Lepisosteus oculatus: one gene and its partners. The protein of the gene in region 2 interacts with the protein of the main gene of each other region in a pairwise test. Links are inferred from orthologs where the notes say so. Each region holds a gene or a part of one and is shown on either strand. Other genes may lie near its edges.

Region 1 (7,104 bases), on a different chromosome or scaffold from region 2:
ACAGTTGTATTAATTCTATTGCACCCATAAAAAAAATAAAACTACTTACTACATAACTAAAATATGTTGGTGTGTAAAAGCTGTCATGAATCAATAACTTGATTAACCTGTCTGAATTCTTCACTCTGTCATGTCATGTAAGTAGAATTCAAACTAAAATTAAAAGCAACACAATACTCCCATTGATAGAGCATGTTAAACAGAAATTGGTAGGTTTCATATAAGTGGACCAAATAAAGAATAAAAGAAACCTTCTTCTTACTTGGTCTGAAACTTTTATATGTTGGAAAACCACACCTTTGCGCCAACTTTGGCCTACTTTGACAAAGCTGTAACACACTGATATAACACTGCCCTCATTTTCTGCAAAAACAGCGTTATTATAGGATTTATTTGATTAAACTCAGTTTGGCGTTTTCTCATATAAATAATTTGTTTGTTTGTTTGTTTGTTTTTCCAGCTGGCTCTACTTTTCTGTTCTTAGTTACTCTGTAAGAAATTGCCACGAGAATGAAAACACACCTTTGAACTTAAACGGGTATACAACAGGTTCTATGGTACAGCAAAACGTAAGCTCTTTATTGAAAAACCCTGACTTGGCCAGTATTACATCACTAGCTATCAGAGAGACTGACAACATCAGCACCATGTATCCAAACTGAATTAAAAACAACAGCACACAAATGCTACAGTACGAATTTAGTTTTAAAAAAGTGCCATTTTTACCTGCATAATACGAATAGGGTTAGCTAAGGTTTATAAAGGCTATCCTGTGGCTTGTGTCTAAGTTTCAGCTTGGGGGGTTAGAGGGTATACAGTCACCATAGTGAAACCAGAATCTCTCAGTCAAGGAACAGCCCAAAGTGCAAATGGTGTTCAATTGTCTGGTGGTTTCAGACAGATTATTTGACTTCATGGTTTAGATGTCACTCCAAAGAGCAGATGTCTAATGGATTTAATGATTAATCCAGATTTTAATGTTTTAACATCTCCATTGCATGTGCAGAATAAAAAAACACCCTCAAAAGGAAGGTTTATGCTAGGAAAGGATACAAACATATTTGATGAGGGTGATGGGTAATTTGAAGACACTCCCTTTTTCTGTTTAATCCTCTCCAGGACCTACAATCACTTTGTCAACAGGAAATCTAAATTATTTAACTATATCTACCAAAACATTTTAGGAACTACAATAACAAGAGACAAGAGAAGATTAGGGTGGAAAATACAGATACTGTATATGGTTACATTCATGTGCTCACTCTCAATAATAAATTATCGATGTATTCCATATTTGTATCATATTGAATTATACTAATAAAACGCAACAGGATGGATAAACTTAAATAATATATTTAATAAGTATAAAGAACTGGACTGCTACACGATTATAAATTTTAAGGTGACAGTTTCGTTACGGTTTTACAATGTGCAAAAGCATGGGTTGATACTAATCCTCTATATTTAAATGTATCACTCCCTGAATGAACCGTTTAACAGTTTAACTTTTAAATTACCATACTTATACCTACACATCACTTGCTTATGTATGTGTACACTGATCCAATGTGTACGTGTGTACAGAAAGGCAAATAAAGACAGAAATGGCTGCATACATACGTACATGCACAATATACAGAATGAACGGGGATAGACTACATGTAAGTATTCGGCAGCAACATGCTTGTTTGCGTGTATGTGGCATGTTTTTCTCATTCAGTCACTCCCTGTTTATAGGCTATAAAAATCTAAGATCAGCCAAGATTGTGCACACCGACACGAAAGAAAACATACGTTAAAACGCACCTATACCAGCTAATATAACTATACATTCCGAGATCCTATTCCTGTTTAATCCACCTCTCTCACAAAACGAAATAATCTTTCTCTCCCAGGAGTGTTGGGAACCCAGTTCCTTCAACCCGGTACAATACATAACGTGAGCTATTGAGGCCGAAGTGATGATCGTTCGTGTGTTTTCTGATTTCCTTTACTCAGTGTCAATACAGGGGTCAATACATGCTCAGGCGTACACAATGTATAATTAACATTTCGCCTTCACAGGATGCTGCAGAATCATTTCCTTTCAGTTATGTGTGATAACAGAAAAAAAATAACCCATTACCTATTTTGAAAAACGCGTCTGCATCCGAATCATTCAGTCCTTCATCGGGTGCTTCGGCTGAATTCATCTTCTTCTTTCTCCCGTGGATTTCAGAAAGGAAAATGTAACTCGAAGTATATCCAGTGATGTGTCTCACAGAATCAGTGCACGATCCCCTCCATATTCTTGTGTTCCTGGTCGCAGCTGTTCGCTTTCCAATCGTGGGTTTCCGTCCGTGTTATTACAAAGAACAGCGCTGCATTTCTCTCTATTGTTCAGAATTCACCCTCCTCTTTCTAGCAGCTCCGGCGCCACAAAAGCAATCCACTGCACATGTGACACATAACGAGGATGCAATAAATTGTTCTGCAAATTATGTTGCAGCTATGTGCAGTGTTTAGTTTATGCGTTTGCACATTTTCGAGATTATTTTGTATATATCCTTACAATTAGCTGCACAGAGTAAGGAATCAGCGTATGGTTGCTTTAGAACTGTACCTTGGCAGTATATTGTAGTGATGTCATACAAATCTGCATAATGTAAGTGACTGGTGCAGAGCAAGGGGTTTTGATCTTGAAATACAGTAGTTACAACGTCGGATTTCTGTTTTTCAATATGCTGTTTCTGGTGCCGAGACACAGCCTGAGTAGGTAGAGATAACATATCACCCTGTGTCCAAATATATGTAAATAAACATGTACCTACATTTTGCTAATTCCGAAAGCAACCTTATCTAAACAAACCTCATTTGTTCTCAAAGGCAGTACGTCTGTTCGTGTGTGGAGAAAGCGACTAAAATAAGTGTACGTTTCTGACAATGAGTGACTTTCCGCACCCTTTTTCACCCCTCCTTCTCACTACCCCGTCTCCTCCTTTTTCCCGTATTAATAACCAATATATTCGTAGGCAGGTCTAGCAGCATACAGCTCCCAGTTTATGCAACTAGAAATATTTGACCATCTAGTGTATAGTCACAGAAAGTCCAATTACTTCGACAACCAGAGTTGCAGTACCTGAATTTCACGCGATATTTTTGCCTAAAGAACTTGCTCCTGCCAGCTTCGGTTCGGGGCTCTTTGTGTTGCACTCCTGTTTTGACCTCATCATGCCCTCAGGAATGCACGGTATGTGTACAGTTATTTTAATAGCCATGCAGATGAGTCATAGAAGATACCATGTTTGGCACACATATTTTTTTCATTTTGTGTGTGCAGGGTGAGTCACCCGATTCATTCATCAATGAGCGGCCAGTTCATATCCCCCAAATGTCATTAAATGTCTGGGTGTTTACACACAACCGACTTGGGTGGTAAAAATGATTACAGGCTGTGCAATTCTGTATATTCCCGGAATCCAGATATAGCGACGTTATACTAGTTACAGCCCTAACCATCTGTCATGGGAAAGGCACGCTGTATCTGAAAATCGAAGCTCCTTTTTTATCAGAAACGAAGGCAATTTTGCTATCTTCAACCAGAGTTCTGGTCATCTACCGCCTCCAAGCGACAACAAATTGTCAAGAACATTGTAAATTTGGGGGGAAAAAGACCTACAACATGTCCATAGACCCGTTTCTTACTCCATTCTTCGTTGAAAGAATGTAATGTCATAGAATAAGCTAACATTACTAAGCATCGCTGACCTTAACGGATGCACAATTCTTTAATTTTGTTTCAGTAACGTACTTGCAATCTAAAAATATTTTTTTAAATCGTGGAGGCCTTAAACTGTTACACATACTGTATACTGTAGTAACAAATAAGTCAATTGGTTAACAGACAACGCAGTTGGGATATAGCGTGCCAAGCTCTTACTGTGTCCAACATTCTTTTTTTTCTACAGATTTAAACTCTCAATTGTATTGTGAAGGATTCTTTTAAAGGTAGGCATCTTGGAAAAACAATAGTGGTGGAATAGTTATAATTTATAGTAAATGAGCTCATCTCACAGGTATGTAAAAAGTTATGTATGCGGCTTCACCGAGCAGTGGCCGGCTTAACTATTGTCAACATGTATCTTACAATAATGTGCCTACATGTGTCAACTAGCACTGAAAAATGTAGGGTTTGAATAAACGTTGAAGTGGTAAGAATTCACGAGGAATAACGACATCCAATAATGATTTCATTTGTGAATATTAAGTATTTTGTAGTATAATACGTTTCGGCATTAAACTGCTCGGTTTTGAGATAGCCCCCTGCCCATAGGATGAGGATTGGAGTTCACCAAGGGGTAGGTTGTAAAAATGGATAGAGGAGGCCTGAGACAAAATGCGAAAAAGAGGTGTTTACTTGTGATACAGATTATTCATGATTATGATTTAGAACAACTGGGTGAAATTGGCTTGTTTGCCATTATCCCCGCCAAACGTCAGTAAAGAACCTCTTCTATTTAAAACGTCTATTATACAAAATATTTAGTATAAAGACTTTATGCCAATAGTTGTGGTTCCAACCGTATTTTAATTTCACAAGGTAGCAGCTGTGACTCATACAAGGATAAAACATGAGAAGTTCTGTAAAGCTAAGCCACTGAATAGAATAAGTGAAACAAGTATGGACAAGGAGAAAAAAAACTTAAAGCGAAGAAAATAGCAGGTTATAAAGATTTTGTGGTGACTCAAAATTTGTAGGGCCATAAATTACAGGAAAATCGAGTCCATTGTCGTTTTAAAAATAGAGATAATTTGCCCCCTAGTGGTATATTTTATACACGACTAGTACTGCAGAAGATTTCTCGTTACTCCAAGATTACCACATACTGTATGAGTTGTAAGATATAACGGCTCCCTGCCATAAAAAGTTGATAAAAATATATAATTTGGAAACATTCTTTATAAGCAAACACATTACACATAGAAACACCAAATTTATTAAAAGAATAGTAACGCTTTTGAAAAAAGGCTTTCATTGGTGTTGTAGACTTAGACATTAACAATATTACATTTTTGGAACGGTCATATCGTACACAGTTAATTATGTTTGGTCTCTACCAATTCATATTATTTTTAAAGCTATACTTTGAATACTATTTGTAAGAGAAAAGAGAACTTCTGTCCGTTTGGTTTGTAACAAAAGGAAAAGGAGTAGCAAAGAGCTTGTTAGCCAACAGATTCATGTTATCCTAGAAAGGCTCCGTAGAACTGAACCTATTGCAGAAGGTGACGTCACCCTCTTGAAGCCTAGATAGTCTACAATTCTCTTATAGTAGAAAAGGCGGTTTTCCGTTTTTCTGGAGAATAGTGCGTTGCTACCGATTAACGCGGAAATAAGAATGGAATAATTAGGAACGTTACAATGTAAAATAATGTTTTAAATTACTTTGCCATGATGAAACGGTACGGTATGTACAGTATTCACAGCTTACTTAAGAAATCCTGTCTCCCATCTCGTCACAGCTACATCACAATACACACAGTACCGAATAAAATATCCTTGTTAAACATCAGGTCAAATCATCTGACAGCTGCACACCTGAACACTCTTCTCAAGTTTCTAATTTTTGACGACACTATCAACTAGAGCGACTGGGCATTGTTCAGAAAAGTCAAGGTCTAGAGGTCTGGAGACGATTGTATTTATTCTAACTTTTACAGACTGATATACTCTAAATGCATTATTTAAGTACTTTTTTATGGTGAAGGTGGTCTGCATCGATTTAAGGACTTATTCATATGATAGACTCTGTCGCCTGTACATACCGGTAAACTTGTGGGGATTCACGATAAAAGGCGATGTTTTGATTTTTTAAACTGAAAAATGTCTTTAGAGCACTAAACACACTGTAATCGGAATGATGAAAACGTAGCCCAGTCCGTGCTGCACTTACTGTTTAGAAAACGGACAGAAAAACAGGTTTGAAAAGAACAAGACACGCAGTTCATTTAATGAGATGTCTATAGACCTGATTAAGAAATCGCGCTGTGATAGTTTTATGTACAGTGTAGTCTGTATAAAATACATTATTATTTGTATTGGCGCATTTTCTATATATTAAGTGAAAAGGAACGAGATGCAGAAAGAGATATTGGAACACGTATATTAATTTGACTATTTCTGGTTTGTTCTGAAATGCATGGCAATTCATTAATTAAAAAAATGTTTCTTGGTGAAAGATTGATAGTTTTGATTTCGCGATTATGTACTTTGTATTGCCTTGAAAAGGCTGGTCTGACACCTTCCACTGTTTGTAGCAATTTTAGACTCTTAGCATCTGTTTTTGTTACGTTGGTTTTCTTCTGATGAATATGCATTTCATCTTGATCTTTTAAGATTGGGCACTGAAATGCCTCTTTCTGGAAAGCAAGTCATCATCCCACCAGAGCTACCAGACATTCTGAAGCAGTTTACTAAAGCTGCTATCAGAACACAGCCAGCCGATCTGCTAGAGTGGTCTTCTATGTAAGTTCTTCCATTATTGAAATACTGCACTCAAAACAGCTTGGAATCAAATATTGCAGTATAGATTCTCCTCTTGTGAAGTGGGGATCTCATAGGTCTAATGAAAAGCCTGCAACTTACAGTAGGTAGCAGTGATAGCTTAAGTGTTTCTTCAATATTTTTCTCTCAAAAAATACTCCATAGCTGTACAAGCATTAGGTTTTATTAACTTACTCCAAGAGGAGCATATCTGCTTTATAGAGAGGTGTTTTTCCTTTGTAGTATGCTTATTAGACTTTTACATTTAAATTATATTATTGTAAACACAGTACTTAGGAACCAAGAATATATAACTTTTATTAACTGTTGTGTGAGATTATACCCAGTCTTATCTTAAAAATGGCAGATTAAATAGAATAATGTTTCACTAATGATGTTTATGTGTTTCTGAAATCTCCTCTTCTGGGATAAACCTGATTTCATTAATGGCACAGTGAACGTGCTCTTATGATCAGTTTATCAAATAGCTGTGTGAGAAGAAAAAAATATATTTACACAGTTGCTGCTTTATGTAGGGGATATTTAATCAAATGAAAAGGAAAACAAAGAGAGGAACTGAC
Region 2 (7,508 bases):
GAACAAGGCTACATCAGATGATCTTAGTGAGTCTTAAAAATGACCAACACCTGAAAAGTCAAGCTAGTCCAGCTAAGCTGCTAACGGAGGTTAAGAGCCCAGCTGGGTCACAAACCCACAGGCACTGCGGTGCTCCAGGACCTGGACAGGACACTATTACCTCAGATGTTCTGATTCACTCCCCTTTCTCAGTGGACAACACTTGGACTTCTATATTCTCAAGTACAAAAATTATATATATATGAATAGAAGTTACTATTTCACAGTGCTATTGTTATGATAACCAAGTAACGACATTCTGTTTTTTTGGACATTCTACACTAATAAACAAAAACACTGGATTCTGCCAAATCAATGACTGATTTTAACACACTTTCCCTGTTCAACGTTATAGGCAGTTCAGGTAAGAATTTCAATTTCCAAGCATTTTAACATAATATATAATAATCCAGTAAAGTATAAACTAATTGGGGAACTTGTCAATACCAACTATGTTAGATTGGTTATAAGATACAGGGACTTTGGTGGTTTGCATTCATGACTTAAGATGAACCAGCAGGATTTTCTCAATAAATACACGTCTTTATAATGCACTGTGTAAGGAGAAACTGGTTGATAGGTGAGCTACGGACATACTAGAAAATCAAAGCCATGAAGACTGACTTACTACTTCTTGATGTTATAGGGATCACAAACCCAAATCACATTTAAAGCAGTGTTATGAATTCACCCACAAGATAAACATGAGAGCAAAGCTTTATTTAGACAGTTTAAAAAAGTGAAACTATGTGTAATGCAATACAGAAATTGACACTCGGGACTGTTTAAATGTTTACCTTCAGACAGTGAGGACAGAAGAAGCCCAAAGAATAATAAATGGCAAGAAAGAGTACAGCAATTATGTGGTATATACATTTTCACTACAGGACACATTCTATACATAAGTCTATTTTAAATATAAAATCTCATTAGGATACCACACATACAAAAAGCTAGATTAGAAGAACACCCTGCATAAGAGAACATGAACTCATTCAGGAGACTACAACGAAAGTTAAAGCAACAAACCAAAGTCCACGTTTACAGATTCTCATGATCTAACTATTGCGTCACCTCCAGTAAAACCAGCACGACCTCTGCCAGCACATATTCTAGCCACCCCAGCCCATCTGGATGTCATTAATATGGTAGAAAGCAATTTATGCCTTTTCTCTCCCTCCGTCTTAACAGGGCCAAGTTGAGTCACTGCGGTGAAGCCGCAAGGAAGATATTGGACAAATGAGATGCTTCTGCAAACTTCTCTCACCCACCCCTCTCCTAGGTTAACACATGATGTAGTCCATCCTGCTGTGAGAAACAAGACGTCCTGAGAGATAAAACAGTAGCTGGTCAACATGTGGTACTAATAACACCCAGGACGTGGGTTCGATCCCTGCCAGGCCAGCAGTGCCGTGCTTGTTTATGTACTTAGTGCAGCAGTATGGAGCAATGGTTAGAGATCGGGACTTGTTTCAGCCTCTCCAGTAAAACACACAGATGTATAAATGGGTGCAAATATCTGCTGTTTTGGACAACCGTGTCAGCCCGATACATTCTTTTACCAATTTATGCCCATTCACCAGGGCAATAGCAAGTTGATTAACGTTAAAGTGCGAAAGTAAAAACAGTAACTTCCCACTCAGGAAGCAGTAAAGAGTCCTGAAAACCAAAATTTCACTCCTCAGCCTTAAGACCAAAAAGAATATATTTCATTCTCCTTTTTATTTAACGATTCACCCAATAATAAAAGTCCATACAACAAACTGGAAGAGATTCAACTTGCTGGAAATTAAAACTTAAAAGACATCATGTGGAGGTCATCTCCTGGCTGACATTTCATCAAAAACCATGTTCCCATGATTCTATAAATAGTTCACATTTAGGTCAGTTGTAAAAAGGTAAACAACCTATCAATGTAAATTGATAAACTTATGTGAAATGTCACCTTCTTATTCAAGCATTATTAATATGAAAGAATACCAATTTAAATTTACTGTGCTGAACTCATACACACTATCGAAGGCTTAAACAGACGCTACTTCAAATAAACCACAGGAATGACATAAGAATTTTAAAAACACTTCCTTCAGTCTGAATATTCCAGTTCAACGTTGTGGACTGTCTAGAATCAACGAACAAGAGAGAGGACAGCTCTGTTTATCTGTGACAACGGTTTGCATTACGAAAGTGTCATCTTTACGCGATATGTGATATATAGAGAGTTTTGTAAAAAAAAAAACGTGATTGATAAATCCTACATTTCATGGGTTTATTTCTGTCAAGCGTGGGGAACTTGCACACAGCAGGGCCGTTTGAGTGGCAGTCATGTTACCCAATTAAAACCGAAATGTATACGTCACATCCTGATCCCAGCCAATGAACACGGATGAAGGGCGGGAGCATCAGAGGTTAGACTGACCCTCTTGCAGTTCAAGCCCGAGAAACGTAATATGGGACAAGCCGCACCCGAGAATCAAAAACCGGTACCATTGGTGAGTCTTCATTGGAAAAGACTGGAGAACATTAAAAAAAGCTAAGAGGCTAACATATAACAGTCGTGTCCGAGGAAAGTACACAGCCCATCTCAAGCAATGACAGTCTAACAACCTACAAAAAACGATTTGAATAAGCTAATTTAGCATCGTCCCTTTTGAAATGAACGGAGCTAACCTCGTTAGCTCACAATTACGAGTCAACAATTTGTAAAAACCAAAGCTTTTGGAAAAGTGACAAACGGACACGCATCTACGGGCAAAAGAACATACAGCTCGAGTCACACTAGGTGAAGCGCAAGTTGTTTAGAGTAACAAGTTAAAAATACATACCCGAAGAGCTACCTGACGTCTCCAAAAACGGCCCTTTACTCCATACAAGACCTAGAGCAGACCGCACCATTTTTTTTCTAATCTCGGTGACATATTTTCAAGCCAGCCACAGATACGATCTTTGTGCAAGTGGGAATTTCAAGTTGCTGCCTAGAAACATGACACGTCAGACAGAAGTCGGCTGTCAACAACGACGGCGTCGCCTTCCCCCCGTCGAACCGCAGCCATTCCGCGTAAAATACACGCCGCTTCAAACCCTGCTCGGCATTTTCGGAGCGTGGAGACTAGTCCTTACCTGAACATCGCCGGCCCGTATCCCTCTGGGCGTCTGGGTCTCAGCACATCCCCTGTCTCCTCTCTGTTTAGTAACTGAATCTCGGCTCTCCAGCCCCTCTCCACCGGGGTCACGCAACTTCCGGCACGACGTGACGTCACAGACGCGCACGGCCTTCCCTCCGGGTGACGCAACTGCACACCGATTGGAATTCAAGGATTACTCAGATTTCTTGGAAATATCATTTGATACTTTTTTTTAATGCTATGACTACAGCCACACATTTTTTCTTGAGTCGTGAGAATTCTTTTTTTTACACGTATGAATGTCATTTTTAGCAACTTAATAAAAATCGTAGAACTTAAATGCTTTATACAATTAAACGAATGGAGAGCCCGTTCATTTAGAAATTAATTTAGCAATGTCACGCACCTATGTCTACCTAAAAATCGGCACCCAAATTAAACAGCCGTATTTTTCCAATGTTTCGTTTCTTTTTTATCGTCGTGCGCCGACTGGTGGAAGATCTGCAGCCGCCAAATGCCCGACTCGTGTAAAAAAAAAAGAAAAAAAGGGGAAATACACTATCTGGTGTTCTTTTTTTCCCAAACAACGTATTGCATGTACTACATATTAAATTACACAAGAAAACAAGTAAAAGTTTCTATCACTTTAGAAGTGGTTATCAAAACAAAAGTTTACAGAAAAAGTAACACCGTCCAACAAGAGCCAATTAATCACAGCCACAGTGCCTCTCAATTAGTCCCAAAGTGGCTAATTACCCTATTAACAATAAATACCGTTTTAAAATAGTGACAAATCTAGTGCTGTGAGAGCCGGGTCTTTTAGTGTTTTGTCTCTTAACAAAGGGACAAAGTTCTTAATAACAGATTCATTGATCGCGATTTTATATTTATGATTTTACGTTTGCTTTCAGTATTTTGAAAATGTTGCGTAAGTGCTATCAACCGTATACGCTTATTTCCGAGTTTCAGAACTCCTTTCACTCAGCTGTGTTACCTGTGTTACCTCTACAGGGGAAAACAAAAAACGTGGTCAGGTATCTATTCCACCTAACTCGTGATAATTCCGGGGAATGTGCTGTATAAACAAATATATAGTGTTGTCCCTTAACCTATAGATGACCTACATCAGAACATCAAAATGCTCTGCAGAAATCAGACTTCGTTTATGTATAAACATATAAGTATTTTTCATAAGGGCTGTTTTATAAGTAATTTATTGAATTCAAGTAAAACAAAAAGTCCAAAGACAATCCGGTTTTTCAGCCTTTTGATCGTCCAATGTAAAGGAATCTGTGGGCGCACCTTGGCGGTCACGAAGGCGCTCGATGTCGTGTGTGAATTAAGATAACCGGCTTGTTGACACAATATTGGATCGGGAGCGTATCGCTTCACCACACTGGTGACAATCAGTTAAAAGACAATCAGGGCTCAGGATGAGGCGAGCGCAGGGCTGAACAGGGCTCTGAGAAGGACATACTGTAGTGGAGCTGGAAGTCGGGGCATTCTTTCGATGTTGGAGGAGAATCGCTTGGGATGCGGGGTGATCTGTAATGCGCTCTGACTGCAGTCACCTCCTGGGGGAGTGAAGTGGGAAACGGCAGGCATGTCTACAGGGGATAACAGCACGGGGGCCGGCAGTGACGAGTGTCCCGTGTGCTACGAGACCCTTAAGGACAACAAAAGGACTCTGAGCTGCGGACACGGCTTTTGCCACGACTGTCTGGTCAAGACTCTGGTCGGCGCCAACAGAAGTGGGCACATCACCAGGCACATCATCTGCCCCATGTGCAGGCACCTGACGTTCCTCACCGAACAGGGGGAGGACGTTGTGAAGGTCAAGAGCGCCAGGAAGGACGCGCAGATTTTGGAAGTTACCCTCTCTCCTCCTCCTCCGGTACCCCCTTTCCATCACCCCCTTCCGCCGCCATCACCGGCCCGCCACGCCGCCGGCCGCGCCCCCCCGCGGGCCGGTGACAGCGGAGCCAGCCGAGCCGTGTGGTTCTTCCGGAGGGCTTCGTCGAGAAGGGTCAGCTCCCGACCGCCCGGCCCTGCCCCCACCCTCCAGATTTTCACAATCACCAGCCAGGGCCGGCCCATGGCGGACGAGGACGCGGTCAGCGTGACGGCAGTGACCACCGTGATTCCCGTCCCAAGAAGGCGAAGTAGACTAACGTGCGCCACAGCGCGATGGGTGCTTACGTGTCTCGTTGCGGCAATCGTGGCGGCTGTGGTGATAGCGGTTATTCAATGTACAATGTGGAGATAGCTCACGTTTTCAATTCCCCCACCGCTGCGTCCTCCACTAACATCACATCCTATTCTGATGCGCCGATTTCCCTTGAAAGCCGTAAAGCTGTAAAGCCTGATTGCTGTGAAAGTCACTATACAAGTGTTTGCTCGTTCTTTCCCCGTTAGCACATGCAAAAAGGTGCATCTAATGACGGCCAAAGGCACTAAGAAGTAAATTCGTTCATGCTGTACCTTCAAACAACCTTTTGCTCCAGTAAAGTGTGTATAAACGTGTGGTCATAAACGTGATTTTCTTTTCAGTTGATTTATCTGGTTATGGGATTAGATACAAAGTGGACATATTGAGATTTAAAAAAAAAACTCCGTCTTGGGTAATATTCCACTTAAGAATCGGACAGGATGAAACCACTCATTGCACTTCCTTCAGTATTTCATTGTCTGTCTTATTGAGAAATATCCGTTTCAGTGTCTGTCGTAATCATCGCTCGTTCTGTGAAGTTGACCAAGTTATGATGGCAATGTACTTAATTACAATTCCGCTTTTATTTAATTAAACAATAGCGATGTAATATTACTATAAATTAGGGCTTTTTTTTTGGTAAATTATTCAAAAGATTTTTTTAAATAAATCCTTGGGTGTTTAAATGTTTATTGTTCGAGGCGTACACATCTGGTGGTATCTATTTTGATAGAAAACGGCTGTGAAATAAAAAATCGTATTTTTTCATTTTGTCTTAATTTTTCTTTACCCAGTCTTTCTAGTCTTGAATGCTTCCTATGACCCTTGAACGTGCAAACTGTCTTCTCCGGTTGATATTGAAGGGGAATTCAGTGAAGTGATAGTGACAGGCATTTTCTGTCCTAATCAGAAAGCAGATCCTTTGTGTAAAAACAAGTCTTCTTCCTTGATGCTTATGATTCATGATATACTTGTTTCTGTTAACAATGTCATTTAAATAGTGACAATGGCAGTAATGAAGTACACTGTACCTCATCTTGTTTTATTTCTCAAAAGAAAATCACGAGCAGTTTTTTTAAACAAGATTGGCACATTGGTTAGCATTGCTGTCTCACAGTGCTGGGGCCCTGGGTTCAATTCCCAGACTGCTGTCTGTGTGGAGTTTGCATGTTCTCCCTGTGTCAGCATGAGTTTCCACCAGGTGCTCCAGTTTCCTCCCACAGGCCACAGACATACTGGGAGGTAAACTGGCCCATCCTTAATGGGCACTGAAAAGCTATTTTCATATTTTGGGGTCAGAAAGAATCACCACTGGTGAGTGGATTTCAAACAGAATGAAAGTAAAACGTGCACAGTAACTTGTTAAACCTCCAATTTACATCACAAAATAGACAAAAGTTCCACATATGTGCAGCGCTGTATTGCCGTTGTAGTCTGTGATTCAGAATGAGACAACAAAATTTCCGGTGAGGTATTTCCAGTGTGCTTAATTCTGAATTTGTCAAATTGTGCAATACCGTCAATTAATCAATTAAGTAAGTAATTAATTAATTGTTACCGAGATTTAATAACCTCTTGGAGAAATTGCGACTGCAGTTCCCCTTTAATCCCCGTTATAACGCTATCCCCAAACTGAGCTTCACACCCTCTCTCCCTTAACCTACACTAAAACAACATAATACATGGTTTAGGAAACAAAGTATACCACAAAAGTTCAGTCTTCCTGAGACCAACACAAGTCATTAACTCAGCAGTTTAATGTTTTTGCTTTTTCAAGCGCGGACAATTACAGTACATTGTTATCCTTGGGCTGCTCCACGTGTGCAGTAGAAATCTGCACCTTGAAGCCTCTAATTTGACATTCAGAGGACTCTCATTTCATATGTACCTCCCTATTTTGCAGCTTTATTTCTGTGCAGAAATATTGTAAATTCAAACAGGTAGGATGTAAATGTGCACCCAGTAAATGTTCTTGTTATTTTCTGTTTTGTTTTGCTAAGGAGGTCCTCCTACAAGGGCATTTTACAATGTCCATGTGACTGAAATGCCTCACTGATTTTATAAGCTACAGTAAATGGTGTGTGAGACCACATATTGTTCTTGAACAGGAAGATTATGTTAAATGCCTAGAGGTC
Region 3 (7,303 bases), on a different chromosome or scaffold from region 2:
GCAGGCAGCAGTGTAGAGCAATTGTTAGGGTTTTGGACTCTTGAGGGTCATGGGGTCAAATTTCAAGTGGTTAAAGCTGTATATTAGAGCAATTTCAAGTCCTGATATCCCAGCCATTAGCAGCAATAGAAAATAATTGGGGATGCAAGGAAATAAAGAATCAGCTCTTCTAAAGATTCATCCCTTTTCACTTCAAACACAAACTTCAGCATCTAAACCTTTGCAGTCAATGATGAAGAGCAACAACTTTGCAGACAATTTCTAAGAAAAGCACACACATTGTATGACCATTTAATAGAACGTAACATACAGTAGGGTGGCTAGACTAATTTATTAAGAAAATATTGTAATACTAATGCCACTTAGTGCAATGTCAAAATAAAGCACAGACATGCTTCTGCCAATGAAGACTGTTAAGGTAACAGTAGTAAACTATCCCTCATGGTCTGGGGGGAAATTAATCTACTGTGCATGCTTACAGCAAATCCACAAAGTTACTACATTGATTAATCTGACAAATGGATTAAAAACTGGAGGTGTTTCAACAAAAGCTGTGGCTGCCTGGTATAGTTTAGAAAAAGGCTACAGTAGATGCAATCATAGTAACAGGGCCACATGACCTCTCACTGGGCCTCCCCTGTGCTTGCCTGTTGTTCCATGTGTGAGAGTTCACTGCTGTGACTGTACCTCCACCGCGGGAGTAGGCAGCTCACTCCATAAATTAATAGCTTTGTGTGAAGAATGACTTCTGTTTCAAGTGCCAAAATTAGTTTTCCTTACCTTCCACTTATGCCCTCTGATCCTGGGTTTTTAGTGTAAATTAAATATCTAGTTTGCTTCTCAGTCTTGTTTAAAGTTTTGAAAGCCTCAGTTGGATCTTGGGTAAGTGCTCACTGCTGTAGGGTAAAACGTCTCATCTGATGCAGGTTATGTTGCAGATCAGTGACTTTCTAGATGCCTTTCTGTGCACTTTTACTATATCCTGTCCTTAGATGTGGTGACTAGAAGTAAATAATACTCAGTGGAGCTCTTTTCATCTCCCCTGCCTCCTTAGGCAAAGACAGGCCTCCACAGTTCTGCTCATTATTCAAACCTGCTTTCTGAAATTCACCATATCTTAGACTAGATTTGGCTCTCCCTTGCTTTACTCCTTTAGTTTTGTGCTGCATTGATAGGATTTATTTACACAGGTTAAAAAAGCAGCAGAAAAGCATATTTCTCTTTATTGATTTTTTTACAAATGGACACAATTAAAGAGAAGTACAAGCACAATTGAAGATAGACAAAAGAGACCAAAATATTGTAATATAAACAAAAAAGAGTCCATTCCAAAACAGTGCAGAATGAATATACAGAATATTACGTACAATCTTAGTCAACACATTACAAAACACATATTTTCTTCTTTTTGCCTGTTTGCATTTCATTCTTCAAGCCTAGACATCTATCTGGCTGCTCATCTCTGGACAAAGTCCAGGGTAACTATTTTTTACTTAAGCAGAGAAAACTAAGTTAACTGAAATACTGAAACTGAAATTGGCAACCCAATGTACTTTTTGAATCAGTGAAACACAAACCAGAAGACATAAGAAGAAACAAGGGAAAAGGGCATTTTAAAATTAAGAACAGGAGACACTTTACACAAAGGTTTGTGGGAGTCAGTCAGATATCACCCAGCCATGCAACCTTTCTCAAAGAAATCACAGGACTACACGTAGGAAGAGGCCACATATCCTTCCTCAGTCTTTTAATGTAATATAATTGTGTACATAAATGCCACACCAAATGCAACAGTACACTTGAGAAAATACCCAGATCGTGATTGTGTCGTTGAATGCATTGTGCATGAACATGGTCCATCATATTCTTATATACTGGTGGCCAGCGTCTTAAAATCCATAAAATTACACTTCTAGTTAGATCTAGGAAGTGACTTTAAACCTTTACTTCATACTTTCCAATATTATCACTGCTACTCGTAGCAGATCCCCAACACAGAAAACGCTTTTTCCCTGTAAGAGGGGGTCTTAAAGCAGACTTAACTGTCTCAGAAGCTTCTATTGGTATATAGTTTAGAATACATAAATGAAGGCTTTTAGAAAAAGTCTCCGTTTAATACTCGATTTTCACTTTTCCTCAAGAAAATTTAGTTAAGTGTTACAGGATACAATACCGTCTGAAAAGGAAAATATCGAAAATTGGAAAGGAAAAATTACGTAACAGGGTTATACTAAATGTCACATCTGGGTGCCATATAATTCCTTGCAAAAAATGTAAACTCGTTTAAAAAAAAAGTTGTGAAAAAATCAAAGACAGTTTAAACCGTATTTATTATCCTGCGACGCAGCTCTTTTTAGGGAGAAAATCCTTTCAACATGAAAGCACGTCCCTTCCCCCCTTCGAATACTTCGCTCTCTCGGCACATCTGTTTTTACTCAGTTTCTGGACTTTCGTGGCATTCCTCTGCATCAGCTACTCCACAGCAAAACTATACTTGCCACGATTCCCCGATACCAAATCCGCATAAAACATTTTAAACATTTTAAAACGAACACGGCGCACTGTTCAACAGGCACGCTAACTTTTAAAAAGCAATAAGATGAAAGAGCTATTCTTACCTGAGATGGCAGACCTTAGTTCCAGACTAAGAATAAATAAATATAAAGTGCATGTGTAAAAGCAGCGGCAGCGAGTCCATGGAGAAAGCTTTTGACGGTCGCTACGTTGCATGCCCAGAGTTACGGAGAGGTGGGCTGTCGTGCCTGTGCCGGGGTGCAGTGATGAGCAGAGAGGCGCTGGGTGAGGAGTCTGCTCTTCTGTGAGCGCGGCCGGACTGGAGGAGCCGCAGACGCTGCGTCACCAAGCGCCCCTCGCAGTTCCTGCTGGAGGAGGCAGAGCTCGCCACCGCCAGGGCTTGCTGAACGGCTAGACCCCCTCACCTGAAACAACTAGTACGCGGTGCAAGAGTAAGGCTAGACCACCTGCCCGCGTTTACTCGGCTTGGTAGGACTGGCCTCCCACTCCTCAATTAGCACGATTGCTGGACCCACATGAACAGGTCGCGATTAGTTCTCGTCAAATCTATTATTGCCACTGGAGAGGCGGGTTCGGCGTCTTGGGTCTGGCTCTCCATTTCCATAAACTCATTTACCGTGTAATTTACAATCTAGATATTTTGAACCACGTATGTTACAATACTTTTTAAAAATAATTTTACCAACTAAATTATTTCATTATTTCACCTAATAGACGTTTTGTTATCCCCCTCTTCTTCCACGTGAAGACACAAAATAAATACGTGAACTGCCAGCACTTAGTTGGTAAAATCCGTAGCACTGTCCTAGTAATGGGCCCTAGTAATGTATAGTAGTAGTAGTAGTAATAATGATAGACTTTGAGGTATATGGCACCTTTCATGGTACATCATGGTGCCATCATCTCAAAGAGCTGTACCATAAAACAAAAGAGATGTATAATCACATTTGAATTGTAAATTAAACAAGAAAACATTAGAGCATAAATGTGAATTTAAGAGAATTTGGCAGTGTTGACTGATATGTAGGACGTGATACAAGATGGGACATCATTCCACAGTCTTGGAGAAGAGCTGAACAGGGATGTCTATCTCCTGGTGTTTCCCAGGAACCTCATAATGTGATCAGAAAGAAGGGAGCAAACCGGTCACTGGTGTAGTCAAGAATTAAACTATTCAAACCTTTAAAGGAGAACAGTAGAAATGATCAGTTTTGTTCTGAAAAGCACACTTAGCCAGTTCAAGGACACTAACACAGATGATATGTCCTAATGCATTTTAGTTTTAGTTAAAATCAACTCAATAGTTCAATAGTTTTGAATATACTGCAATTTCTTAATGTATGAGTATGGTAATATGAACTGCATTACAATAATTAAGTCTGGAAAAGACAAAAAATGAAACAGGGGGAGATGTCTACTGATGCCATGTTACAGAAATGATCAAAGATACCTTAACTACAATGTGAATATGAGCTTCACATTCAAGGCAAAATAACCCCAGGATTCCTTACCTAAGTACTTATACTGATTCCATGATCATCAATACAGTAGATATACTAAGACCTGTTTGTGGAGTTGATATAAAGAGCCAGGAACGTAACTTTGGTCTTGTGCAAGTTCACAAGTTCACATGTGAAACATTGTATAAGCATTTGTAAGAAGAAAGAGATCATTTGGTTAGATTTTGTGTAAATTAGTGTAACCTCAGTGTGGAAATGAAGGCTGATACCATACCTACAGTATGAAGAATTTGACCTAAAGGTTTTGAAAGATTTTGTCCTAAATATAGACATTAGAAATAACTATGGGGTTACTGCTAGATGTGCCAAATGGCCTCTTCTGTTTGTACCTTTTCTAATAGTCATTCAGATTAATTTAAAACACAAATATAAAGTACCTGGCAGAAACTCTGATTAAAATAGCAGCCTCTTTCAGAGATTTGAATGGATTTTGTTTTTTCTTAATAAAATTCTTAAAATAAAGCAATTGGCACAGATGAATATTATTGGCTGGCAGTGAAAAACAAATTGAACTAACTGGTATCCAGTGCAAAGTCAATGCTAATTAAACAGTGGTGAATTACCCTGGGCCTTTCACATTTCTTTGCCTCACTGGCAAATCAGTGCAGAGAATCTTGAATCTCCATAGTGGAACCCTGTGGCTCAGCCTGTGGTTTTGACTTTTCTTTAATTAGTCAGTATTGGCAGTTGTTCAGATGTTGAGCTTACTGGGAGGAAAGTTTTACTGCCTGCCTACGCCTCTCCTGTGCCAAAGAAGTGAGCCTAGTAACTTCACTCTCACTTCCTGTGCGGCCTACCCTGCCAAAAACCTCCCATTATTGATCAAGAAAGCAGAAAGAAATCTACTTTTGTCAGCCCTAAAACACCACACTACGTATTTGTACACCGTTCTGTTTGGGAGATGTAATTTTTGTAACAGGGTGTTTTCTACTGTGCTGAACATTTATAAATTTTAGAATCATTTGACAAAAGTTTACAGACAATCATCTTTTTTATTTGAAGGAAGACAGAATCTTAAGATCAGGAGAGCATGATTCCACTGACTGACTTAATTAATGCTATTATTGCGATTGGGTGAGAGGTTAGTAATAAACCAGAAGAAGCTAATATTTTAGTTGAGCTGTTGTTTGAAAAACTGTTTTCTTTTTGTTATTTATGCTTCTAGGGAGAATCTTGAAAGATGGTAGCAAGATCAGAAGACCTTTATCCAGTAAGATGGGATGAAATATGCTCTCTTTGCAACCTTTCCTGCTGACAGTCAACTAGCAGCTCCTCTTTGCAGTCTTCCTGGAGGGTCCTTACAAGAGCAGTATTTATTGCAATGGTACTGGAAATTGTATGGATTATGTACTGAGTGAGTACCTGAAGTATGCCCTTAGGATCAAGTTAGTAAATTCTTGTCTTTATCAAAACAGTTTAGCTATACATAAAACCATTAACTTTTTATTGACTCTTTATAGCTATTTTCATGTGAATTGATTCATAATTCTACAACTGGAAAGGGCGTAACACACTGCTCACAAAACATCATCTGTCTCTTTTTCTGCTGTGATCACACACATCCAGTCACGCAGACATGCTTATTGTCTGTGGTCCAGTCTAATACAGGTCCAGACTGGATTGTACTAAAACATCTTCTACAGTGGAAGAGTTGTACTTTTTAACCATAACCTAGTTACTGGCTATATGTCTGAATGTTTATGGAGGATTGATTCCATATGACCTTTTTCACACAAATTACTTTGTTGTGGAAAAATGGCAATAGTGGACCATCAGGATTTATTTTTATTTAATATTTATATTTCCAAATTTATTTAACTTTTATATTAACTTCAATCATTTAACATTGAAAAACTAAATTATTTAATATTTTTATTTTATCAACATGTGATATAATTACTATCTTGGTTAAGAAGGACTATCTGATTCCTGTTTATTGCGTTCATGTTCATCTTTATGACAAGTAAAAAGAAGTTTCTGAGAAACAAAGCTGATTCTTTTCTGAAAAAAAGACACTGTTCAGAAGGATGCAATTAAAAGCTAATAAAATCTGTGAAAATTATCTATGTTATTAGCAGCTTTTCAGCAATCACATGAAACAGAGGTCAAACTGGCAAGGCAAGCAATGTCTTTATTTCATTTATAAGAAATGTTGTCAATGTTATTGTTGCATCGAACAAGCACAGCATATCAAGCCAGAGCCTAGCTCTTCAAAGGTGCCGCCCTCGATTCAGATCGTCCTCTTGGGAGGACACATTGCAGAGAGTTTGGCAGCAAACACAGAGGATTCAAGGCCTTCAGGTGTGAGAAAAAAGAGCAATTGGGAAACCACATTGTTATCCCCCATAACACAGGTTTTAAACACTACTTTAGCTCGACTGTGCTTGTCCAGTTGGCATTAACACTCTACTCTGCTTGTGTATTTACACTTCTTTCAAACTTTGTATGCATTGCTAGATAACCTGGATAAAGGTATAACCTAACAACAATATAACAACAATAATAATAATAATAATTATAATAATAATGTGATTTATATATGTATACATATTTTACATGGCTACACAGGACTAACTGTTAAACAAATAACACTAAACAATCAATTTCCTTATTAGTATAATGGTCTGTGTAGTTGATTTGCTTTATCATTCTGAAGCATTTTATAGTCATTATGAAACAGAAAAGTGTCCAAAGCCTGACAGAAAGCATCTGAGAAATACTAAGCATCATGGTCCTTATCCATGAGTGACATCGCTATTAGGACACTATGGCTAGCCTCTTTATTCTCTCAGAGAATGCCTGGTCTTTGTTTCTTCAAGCTATAGATATATATAAGATCACTTTATTGGCCCTATACAATTTCTTGTATTAGGCATTTGTCTTTTCGCATACCCCAGCTTGCTCTCCATGAGACACACAGACGGGGAGAGAAGCTGGGGGTCAGAGCGCAGGGTCTGCCATTCATACAGCAGTTGGGGTAAAGGGCCTTGCTCAGGGGCCCAACAGAGTAGGATTCCTCTGCCGGCCACGAGATATGAACCAGCAACCTTCCAGCCACAGGCACAGATCCTGAGCCACCGCACCGCCCAGCTTATAGCATGTAAGTATGAAAACAGAAGAAAATGTTGAGTTAATTAGGATCCATTGAAACAGCAATGGCCAAGGACCCTCACTGAGAGCTCATGGATGCCTCACAAAAGCATGAACAACAGAACGCCTCCTGTTCTGTCATTACATCTTCCCTCATC
Region 4 (7,361 bases), on a different chromosome or scaffold from region 2:
CAACTCTGAATGCGTGGCCCATGAAAATTTAATCCAGACAGAAACCTGAGACTGGCTGAGGAGCAGGGTGGAAAAGCAACGCTCTCCTCATCCACCTGCCTGACCGCTGCGGGAGGAGTGATGAAGGAAGAAAGAGAGGATGGAGAGAGAGAGGAGGGAGAAGAGGACGAGGACAGAGAAGGTGTACTAGAGATGGAGAGAGAGCCGAAGAAGCTGACAAACGGGCTGTGAGGGGGAGGAATCTAAACAGAAAATAAGAACAAATATTCAAACAAATAGTGAGGAAGGCCAATATAATCACTGACTGTTATGACCATCCCTTGCACAATTAATGTGAGGTCCTTCTACCAGAGCATTGATTTAGAATACCAGATTTAACTTGTGCAATAGGACTAAGTTATCCTTTATTCCCATGGCTAATTACCTGCTTAATCTGGACAACAGATTGTATATTTTAATTTTTTGCATCATGTATCTTAGGTATCTATCTCATGCACTGAAGATCCAATTTGTTTTTTTCTTAATTATAAAGGATACGTAAGCCACTAAAACATGTTTTTCTTCATTTTCTGCATGCATGTCTCTTATTTGTAGACGTCTCTTAAATGTATTATGCGTTGTTTTATATCTGGTACCTGACTGCAATGCCAATTTTCCATCTGGTGCAATAAAGGAAGGAAGTGGGACGGAAATAGACTGCCATGGAGGAAAGCAGAGGAGACAATGAGGGTTCAGCCCCTCTGAGCCAATGTTTTATAAACTGTCCAAACACCCCAGCCCTGGGAAAGCTAGTCTTACTGCAGCAAATGAAGCAAGCTGTTACAGCGTTCTCTGTCTGCTGGCATTGAACCTCTGCTGCTCAAACACTGAGCCAGAGGCCACACACTGACATAGGCAGACACACGCTCACGAGCCGCAGCACTGTTTCAGACAAGAACACGCAGGGACACAGAAGTGTGCAACCTACTGAACGGACTGTTCTTTCACTCAGTAATTAAGTGCATTTTGTTACTGTGCCCTGGAAATGGAGAATGAGGCACTCGGATAATGATATTGTGTCACTGTCCTGAATGTTTGTAAATGTTTTGCTGATTGTTATTGCTTTGGCAACGCTGTAATTCATCAGTCATACCAATAAAGCTCTTTGAATGTGAATAGTTATCAGTCTTAGTAGTTTGTTTGTTTGAGAATTTCTTGTATTTCAGTCAATAACCATGTTATCCACCCGAGACCCAGAAAAAGACAGGAGGTGTGATGAGTTTATTTCTCAAAATTGGGAAACTGAAGAATGTACTGAGTAAAGACATAGACAGACATTTTCAATCCAGTAAGGGATAATTTGTAAAAGCAGAGTGAGTCCTTCTCACAGCTATTTTTTCTATCAATACAGCCTGTAAAAAGCCTTGCAAAATATTTATTTTATCCTCCCAAGAACAAAAAGATGTTGAAATGTTACTTTCAACATCAGGCACTAAATCTAGTATGTAACTCTATTCAAAGCTATTGTTAGCTGCTATATTGTTTATAAAAGCCTGTATTTCCTCAAATACAATCTGAAAGTAGCTTTGAAATGTTTTTAAAGCAGCATAACAGTGTAGAAATTGTGTAGATGGACACTTTTTTGTAGAAAAACGTTTAAGTATATTCAGCTTTTTCCTTAGGACAGCGTGTTCTGTAGCTTTATCTAAATTTCATTTTTAAAGCTGTTTCCACAACACAACAGATAGATCTGAATGATGGGATATAAGTTAGATTTGACTGTTTCACCATATCAGAAAGTAGAACTGTCTAATTAAATGTCTAATTCTCCTTTGCATATATTGCCTTAATCTAGTGTGTTATTAGTGTTTTTTCTATGCAGCCACAAGGTGGCAATATCTTACAATATCAAATTAATATCAGCCATTTCCCTATGTAGGCATGATAGAGAACTACAACAGTAATTTCTGTGACATAGATATTGAATTCATTCACTGAATCATCGTGGGATTACCAACTTTTTATCCTTTCCAACACTCTCTGCATTTCCTTTTTCTTTAGTGACAACAATCTTCTGTAGATCCATGTCACTTTTTATACTGTAAAGCACACAGGCATATACACACTGCAGGTCCGACTAAGTTGGGATTGCAAGTAAAGTAATGAACAGCCAATTATCTAAATTGTTGGAGGCTTTTGGAACAGCAACCACTGGTTAGGGCTGCCCCAGTAGGAAAATACCTGTGGATAGTCCCTCTCCTCTATCTGGAACAAGTGACAAAGCAGTGGTGAAGGAAAGGAATAGGTTTCTAAGTCTGTGCAGAAGCTAAACCAACAAGCAGTTTTTGGAACATTTCTTTTAAAAAGGATTTAGTTAAAGTTATTTTTTAAACCTAATCAGTCAAGTCATAGGTGCAGGGTTCTAATCCTTGAGGACCAGAACCAAGCAGGTTTTCTAGGTCTATTTAAATCATCAAATGATTGAGACCTTTGAAAATAATTAACCTGGTCCAATTCAGCTAATGATCAGGTCAACTATGTCATTAACAGTAAAAATGGAATAACACCTTGCAGAGCCTTCCAAAACAAAGCTGTGTACCACAGATTTGGCTGTGTGTGTACTTGCTTTTAAAATAACACTTCACCTCATAAAAGTAATTTGTAGCAACTTCTTCACAACTAATTGGTTAAAAACTAATAACATGAATAACTTGCAACTGTAACTGACTACATTTTATAAGCACATCTCCAGAACTGACAAGAAAATTCCACTACATTCTCCAGCTTCAGATTTGTACCCTCCTTGTCCTGTACTAAAACATCTGTCCATCTGCAAGCTGAACACAGATGCTGTCAGCAGCTGAAACACCTCCAGTCTCAGCTCTACACACTCCATTCTCCCTAATAAAAAAAATCAACATATTTACAAACAGGTCAGAAACAGCACCTACCTGGTAGATTTACATTTCCTTATACCTGCTAGTCCTGCATGCCACACTGGTGTCACTTTTCAATATACTTTTCTAATAAAAGGGAAGCAACTCTGAAATGCCCTGTGATCTCAGCCTGTCACCACGGAAATGTCTGTGATGTCACAACTCTGGTACTGTGACATCATCAGTTGCTTGCCTGCGCAATTTAAGATTTTGACTAATTCATCATACTGTAAGAGAGTTCATAGCATTCCACTACACAGCATGAGGGACCTATATCAGCCACCCCTGATATAACCCTTAGATGACACATAGCAGCTAAAATGTACCAGCAGCCCTACTACACACCTTACCTATCCAGGTGAGAAATAGTTTAACTGAATGAATTAAGGGGAATGTTAAGAAGGCCAGAGTGAACAAGCCAAAAGTGCAACATGGGATCTTTTATTACTGAGTCATAAAAGTCAGGATCTTGGTTAAATGTCTTATCAGATGGATGATACCTCCTTAAGCACAGAGTTCCTGGTCACTAAACTACTGTAGAACATTGTCTACAGTAGGAACAAAATCCTAGTCTGGAAGAAAGAGTGCCACCTACTTGACTAACAACACCCCTCACAGTAGTGACTTAGTTTTTGCTGGAACTGTCCCATCCAAGTAATGATCAGATACAGCCTTGCTTAGTTTCTAAGAGCGGGTTCAGAGACAGTTTCTTGTCAGATTATTGAACTTTACCCCTACCCACACCTATATTTGTTTTTTAATTGTATGTTATTTAAATTGTTGTTGTTGCTGCTGCTGTTCTGTTTTTATGTTTTTGGTGGTTCATTTAATATCTTTGTATTGGAGAATACATGCAAATAAGCAATTCATTGCACTTGTGCATATGACAATAAACTGAAGTGAGCTATAATGCAGACTACAAGGTGGTTACTCTGCTGGTAAACAGTACCTGCAATATCCAGGCTCTCTAGTAGGGTCTAGGTCATAGTCTTTGTGCAATACTATTTTAACATTGTGCTCTGCAAAAGACAACTGAACCATGAAACACACTTTATGATCTTTGGCTGAAAAAAGCTGAGGAAATAGTTGTCTTTTAAATACTTTTTGTTTTTCATTTTCAGTTGATTTAATGATAAATCAACATAACTGGCTTTTTCTCAGGAGCAAAATATTATACAGATTCTACTGGGTCTTTGTGTTGCCAAGAACCTTAACAGACAAAAGGTTCATCCAGATTCATTTGATGAATAGTCTGAGCAGTTTGCAAGGGAAGCTAAAATCCAGCTTTTTTAAGAATATTAATAAATGATGAGAGACCACAGGTAGGGAAGATCATGCTGCAGTTCAGGTAATGTAAGCCCTGCCTTCACAGACAGAAGCTCTGGTTGCGAGGGGATGGATCTCATTGCTGTGGCTGGCAGAGGTCCATGAACACTATGATTTACTGGGCAGTTTGAACACATGGATACTCCAGCAAACCTGTCTTCCTTGGGAAGTGTTTAAGGGATGGGGAAAACGATGGGGAAAGAACCGGCAGTTTTTTCATCTAAATTTAGACTATTAACCAGTCTGTGTCTGTCATTTTGTGCGTGAGACAGGGACAGAAACGGGACAGATGAAAGGAGAAATGGAGAGCTCGTAAGACACAGGGGGAGGAGAGAAAGAAATGAAGGAATGCGATAGACGGTGAACCCTGAGACTGGCGCTGCGAGCACTACGGTAAGAGAAGCAGAGCTACAAGAGGCGTGCACATGAAAGTGAAGGATAGAAAGATAAAGACAGGTGGGGGGAGAGAGGTGGGGTAGAGGGGAGATTTGAGAGAGATTTCTGGAAAACAGAAAGAGGACAGAGGAAAGAACGAACAGAAAAGTAAAGAGACAGAAAGAAGGTCTTTGGCTCAGGTAAGATGTGACTGATTATTTAAATAAATTAAAAATTAAATGTGGTGATTATTACAGTATCTTGCATTGGATTCTATAGTGCTCATATTCCTGTCCAGAACAGCAGTGATTGCCTCACCATGGCAATGGTCTTGTCGCATTGTTACTGATGTGTCTTTCTGGGATATAACTAAAAAACGGGAGACTGAGAACAAAAAAAGGAGAAAACACTTTTTATATGGTGTATCATCATCTTGTGCAGTGCTTCAGAATGTTTATGTTTGCTCTTTACCTGTTGTGCCATGTGGTGTGGATTCAGCAATGAATTGATTGTCCCGCCCATCAATGTGTCGTGAAAGAGGGTCTCTGAGTGTGTGTATCACAGAAATCATGGTGAATTATAACAATAATTCATTAATGAGAATAATTCTGATCTGGGAGTGAAGTGTGTCTGAATTCTGTTTTTGTGCTCTTTGCAGTTAACCTTATCAGTTTACCACTTGACTGTTAGAGGAAAGACTTCTGTTGCAAGAACAGCCAGGGAATCCAATCCTAATCCTAATAACAATTTTGTCGTATTATTCTCCCCTGAGTACCAGTAGATCAGGCTAGCATCAGAACAAGCAGAATTCCTATGGACCTCTCGATGTGCTTCTGTTCTAATGCCCACTGATGTGGGTGCGGGGTTGTTAATGTGTTCCAACACTCCTAGCAGCTCAGCCTGAAGACTTGACGATGCTCCTGGCCCTGACACTGCTGCTCCTGCTGACTCTGCACCCTGAACCCAGCACTGTGAGTAATCACCCCGCAGATTCACACAGCCCCAGCTTCCTGCTGTATTAACAGCCCTAGGCTGCTAATCTACTGATGAGGCACAGCACACAATCACTTGGCTTCAGCATTGTTGAGTGTGCTCCTATTTATTGAAGACAGGGTTTGAAAAATTAAACTACAGAAAGGCTATGTTATGATCAGCTGGCAGACCTACTATTCTTCAGGGTGTAAACAGCACTGAGTACTGCACATGCTGCACACCTGCGACTTAGTTGTTACAGGTACAGAGAGACACCTCGGACCAGCTGACACTGCAGCTCCCTCACAGATGGGCTCTTCAGCATAGCCTGTCTGCAGGGACAGTGCAGCAGCTCTGGAGAAGACTGATGGACACAGAGTCTTTTGCTGTCCCTCTGCAGCCACTGCGCACACATGGAGAAAGTGGTGCATGCCTTGACAAAAGATTTCTGTTCTTCAATAAAAAATAATTGAGAATTTGCTTTGAAACATTTACAGCAAGTACTCAAACATGTTTAAGTGTTTAGATTCTCGTTCTATGCTCGTTTGTTCATTATATGGTATTTCGAACTGAACTGCCGAATTGCTATTCTTCAGAATTTGTATTGGGTTTTCGGATGCCTGTGCTTGAGTCTGTTGAGCTCGGGCTATGTGACTGACCAGGCTGAACACCTGTTTCCCATTTCACTGGACCTGGGCCAGGACAGATGTGCTGGCACACACTACAAAGCTGAGCCGGAGAGAGGCTAGCCTCTCCATTGTGAAGACTCCTGCTCTTATTGGGCTGATGTGAGGAGCAGGGCCCCTGAGCTTGAGCTTGATAGGAAACATAAAAACAGGAAGGAATGAGGGATCAGATCACACAGAAGAGGTAAGAATTCACACTCACGCAGCTGGGGCTGGTCAGGACTGTACACTGGGACCAGGCAGGCTAGAGGATCCGAGCAAGGACAGGCTGAGCAAGGCCGGAGACAGATAGGAGTGTGAGTGTGTGGAAACGCTGTGCTGTGTTCCAGGCGGGCAGGGCCCAGCGGAGACAGAGACTGGCAGAGGAGACTCTGAGGCCATACGTGGAGCGTGTAGATCCAGGTGAGTCTGACGATCTGAGGGGGTTACAGAATCTGACCCAGGTACGAGCTGCCTTGCTGTGGTGGATCTATATGTAAAGCACCTCTGGATACTGTAGGATATAACATGCTACATAAATGCAAATGATTCCATTCATTTATTTTATTTTTTTATAGTTAGGGATTTAGTGTTAGAATTTGAATTAATTAGATAATTAGATAATGAAACATCTACAGTTTATTGAAAACCTCCACTAAGTGTTTTTTACTAGTATAATAACTTTGACAGTTCTCAATAACAGAAGAAAACCAGGCTTGTCATTTAGCAGACTCCAGCTCACATTGATCAGAATCCTAAAATCATGTTGATCAGCAAATCCAGGTAAACTATACATGAGCAGCCTATACTGTATATATACTGTACTGTAGTGGCTAAACCAACACATTTACCAACCAAATCTCCAGAATCACTGTCAGCACTGCTAACATCCTTTTTTACTTTTTATACACCTGTAAAGCTAAAGGGCTTCTTTTTGTACTGCACAATATAGATCTATCAAGATTAGCTATTATCTTAAAACAAAATCACTAAAAATCACTGCAGGAATGTGCTTCTTTATACTTCATTACTAAGGTAATGAAATGATCTGGATCAATAAGGGGAGCAGGAATTACATTTGGGATGTACCTAGAATTCTGAAGGAATG

What was found.
Region 1: the proteins of ndel1b (region 2) and kalrna interact in a two-hybrid assay, tested with the Homo sapiens proteins (2 studies listed by BioGRID and IntAct). The link is inferred for Lepisosteus oculatus from reciprocal best matches to the Homo sapiens genes NDEL1 and KALRN.
Region 3: the proteins of ndel1b (region 2) and mrc2 interact in a two-hybrid assay, tested with the Homo sapiens proteins (2 studies listed by BioGRID and IntAct). The link is inferred for Lepisosteus oculatus from reciprocal best matches to the Homo sapiens genes NDEL1 and MRC2.
Region 4: the proteins of ndel1b (region 2) and serine-rich coiled-coil domain-containing protein 2 interact in binary tests that used the Homo sapiens proteins (3 or more experiments, as listed by UniProt). The link is inferred for Lepisosteus oculatus from reciprocal best matches to the Homo sapiens genes NDEL1 and CCSER2.

The regions. Positions count from the first base shown.
Region 1 is NC_090707.1:11,601,657-11,608,760, forward strand, and holds the start of kalrna (kalirin), read right to left. Parts: upstream 3,014-7,104; 5' UTR 2,193-3,013; coding exon 2,126-2,192; intron 1-2,125. Other genes in the region: ropporin-1-like, read left to right, coding at 6,390-6,505. UniProt on the Homo sapiens protein: Promotes the exchange of GDP by GTP. Activates specific Rho GTPase family members, thereby inducing various signaling mechanisms that regulate neuronal shape, growth, and plasticity, through their effects on the actin cytoskeleton.
Region 2 is NC_090704.1:43,782,706-43,790,213, reverse strand, and holds the start of ndel1b (nuclear distribution protein nudE-like 1-B), read right to left. Parts: upstream 3,024-7,508; 5' UTR 2,935-3,023; coding exon 2,865-2,934; intron 1-2,864. Other genes in the region: RING finger protein 222, read left to right, coding at 4,768-5,430. UniProt on the Homo sapiens protein: Required for organization of the cellular microtubule array and microtubule anchoring at the centrosome. May regulate microtubule organization at least in part by targeting the microtubule severing protein KATNA1 to the centrosome.
Region 3 is NC_090723.1:138,134-145,436, reverse strand, and holds the start of mrc2 (C-type mannose receptor 2), read right to left. Parts: upstream 3,005-7,303; 5' UTR 2,731-3,004; coding exon 2,619-2,730; intron 1-2,618. UniProt on the Homo sapiens protein: May play a role as endocytotic lectin receptor displaying calcium-dependent lectin activity. Internalizes glycosylated ligands from the extracellular space for release in an endosomal compartment via clathrin-mediated endocytosis.
Region 4 is NC_090699.1:28,717,148-28,724,508, forward strand, and holds the start of serine-rich coiled-coil domain-containing protein 2, read right to left. Parts: upstream 3,011-7,361; 5' UTR 2,931-3,010; intron 1-2,930. Other genes in the region: sparcl2 (SPARC), read left to right, coding at 5,531-5,587, 6,604-6,676. UniProt on the Homo sapiens protein: Microtubule-binding protein which might play a role in microtubule bundling.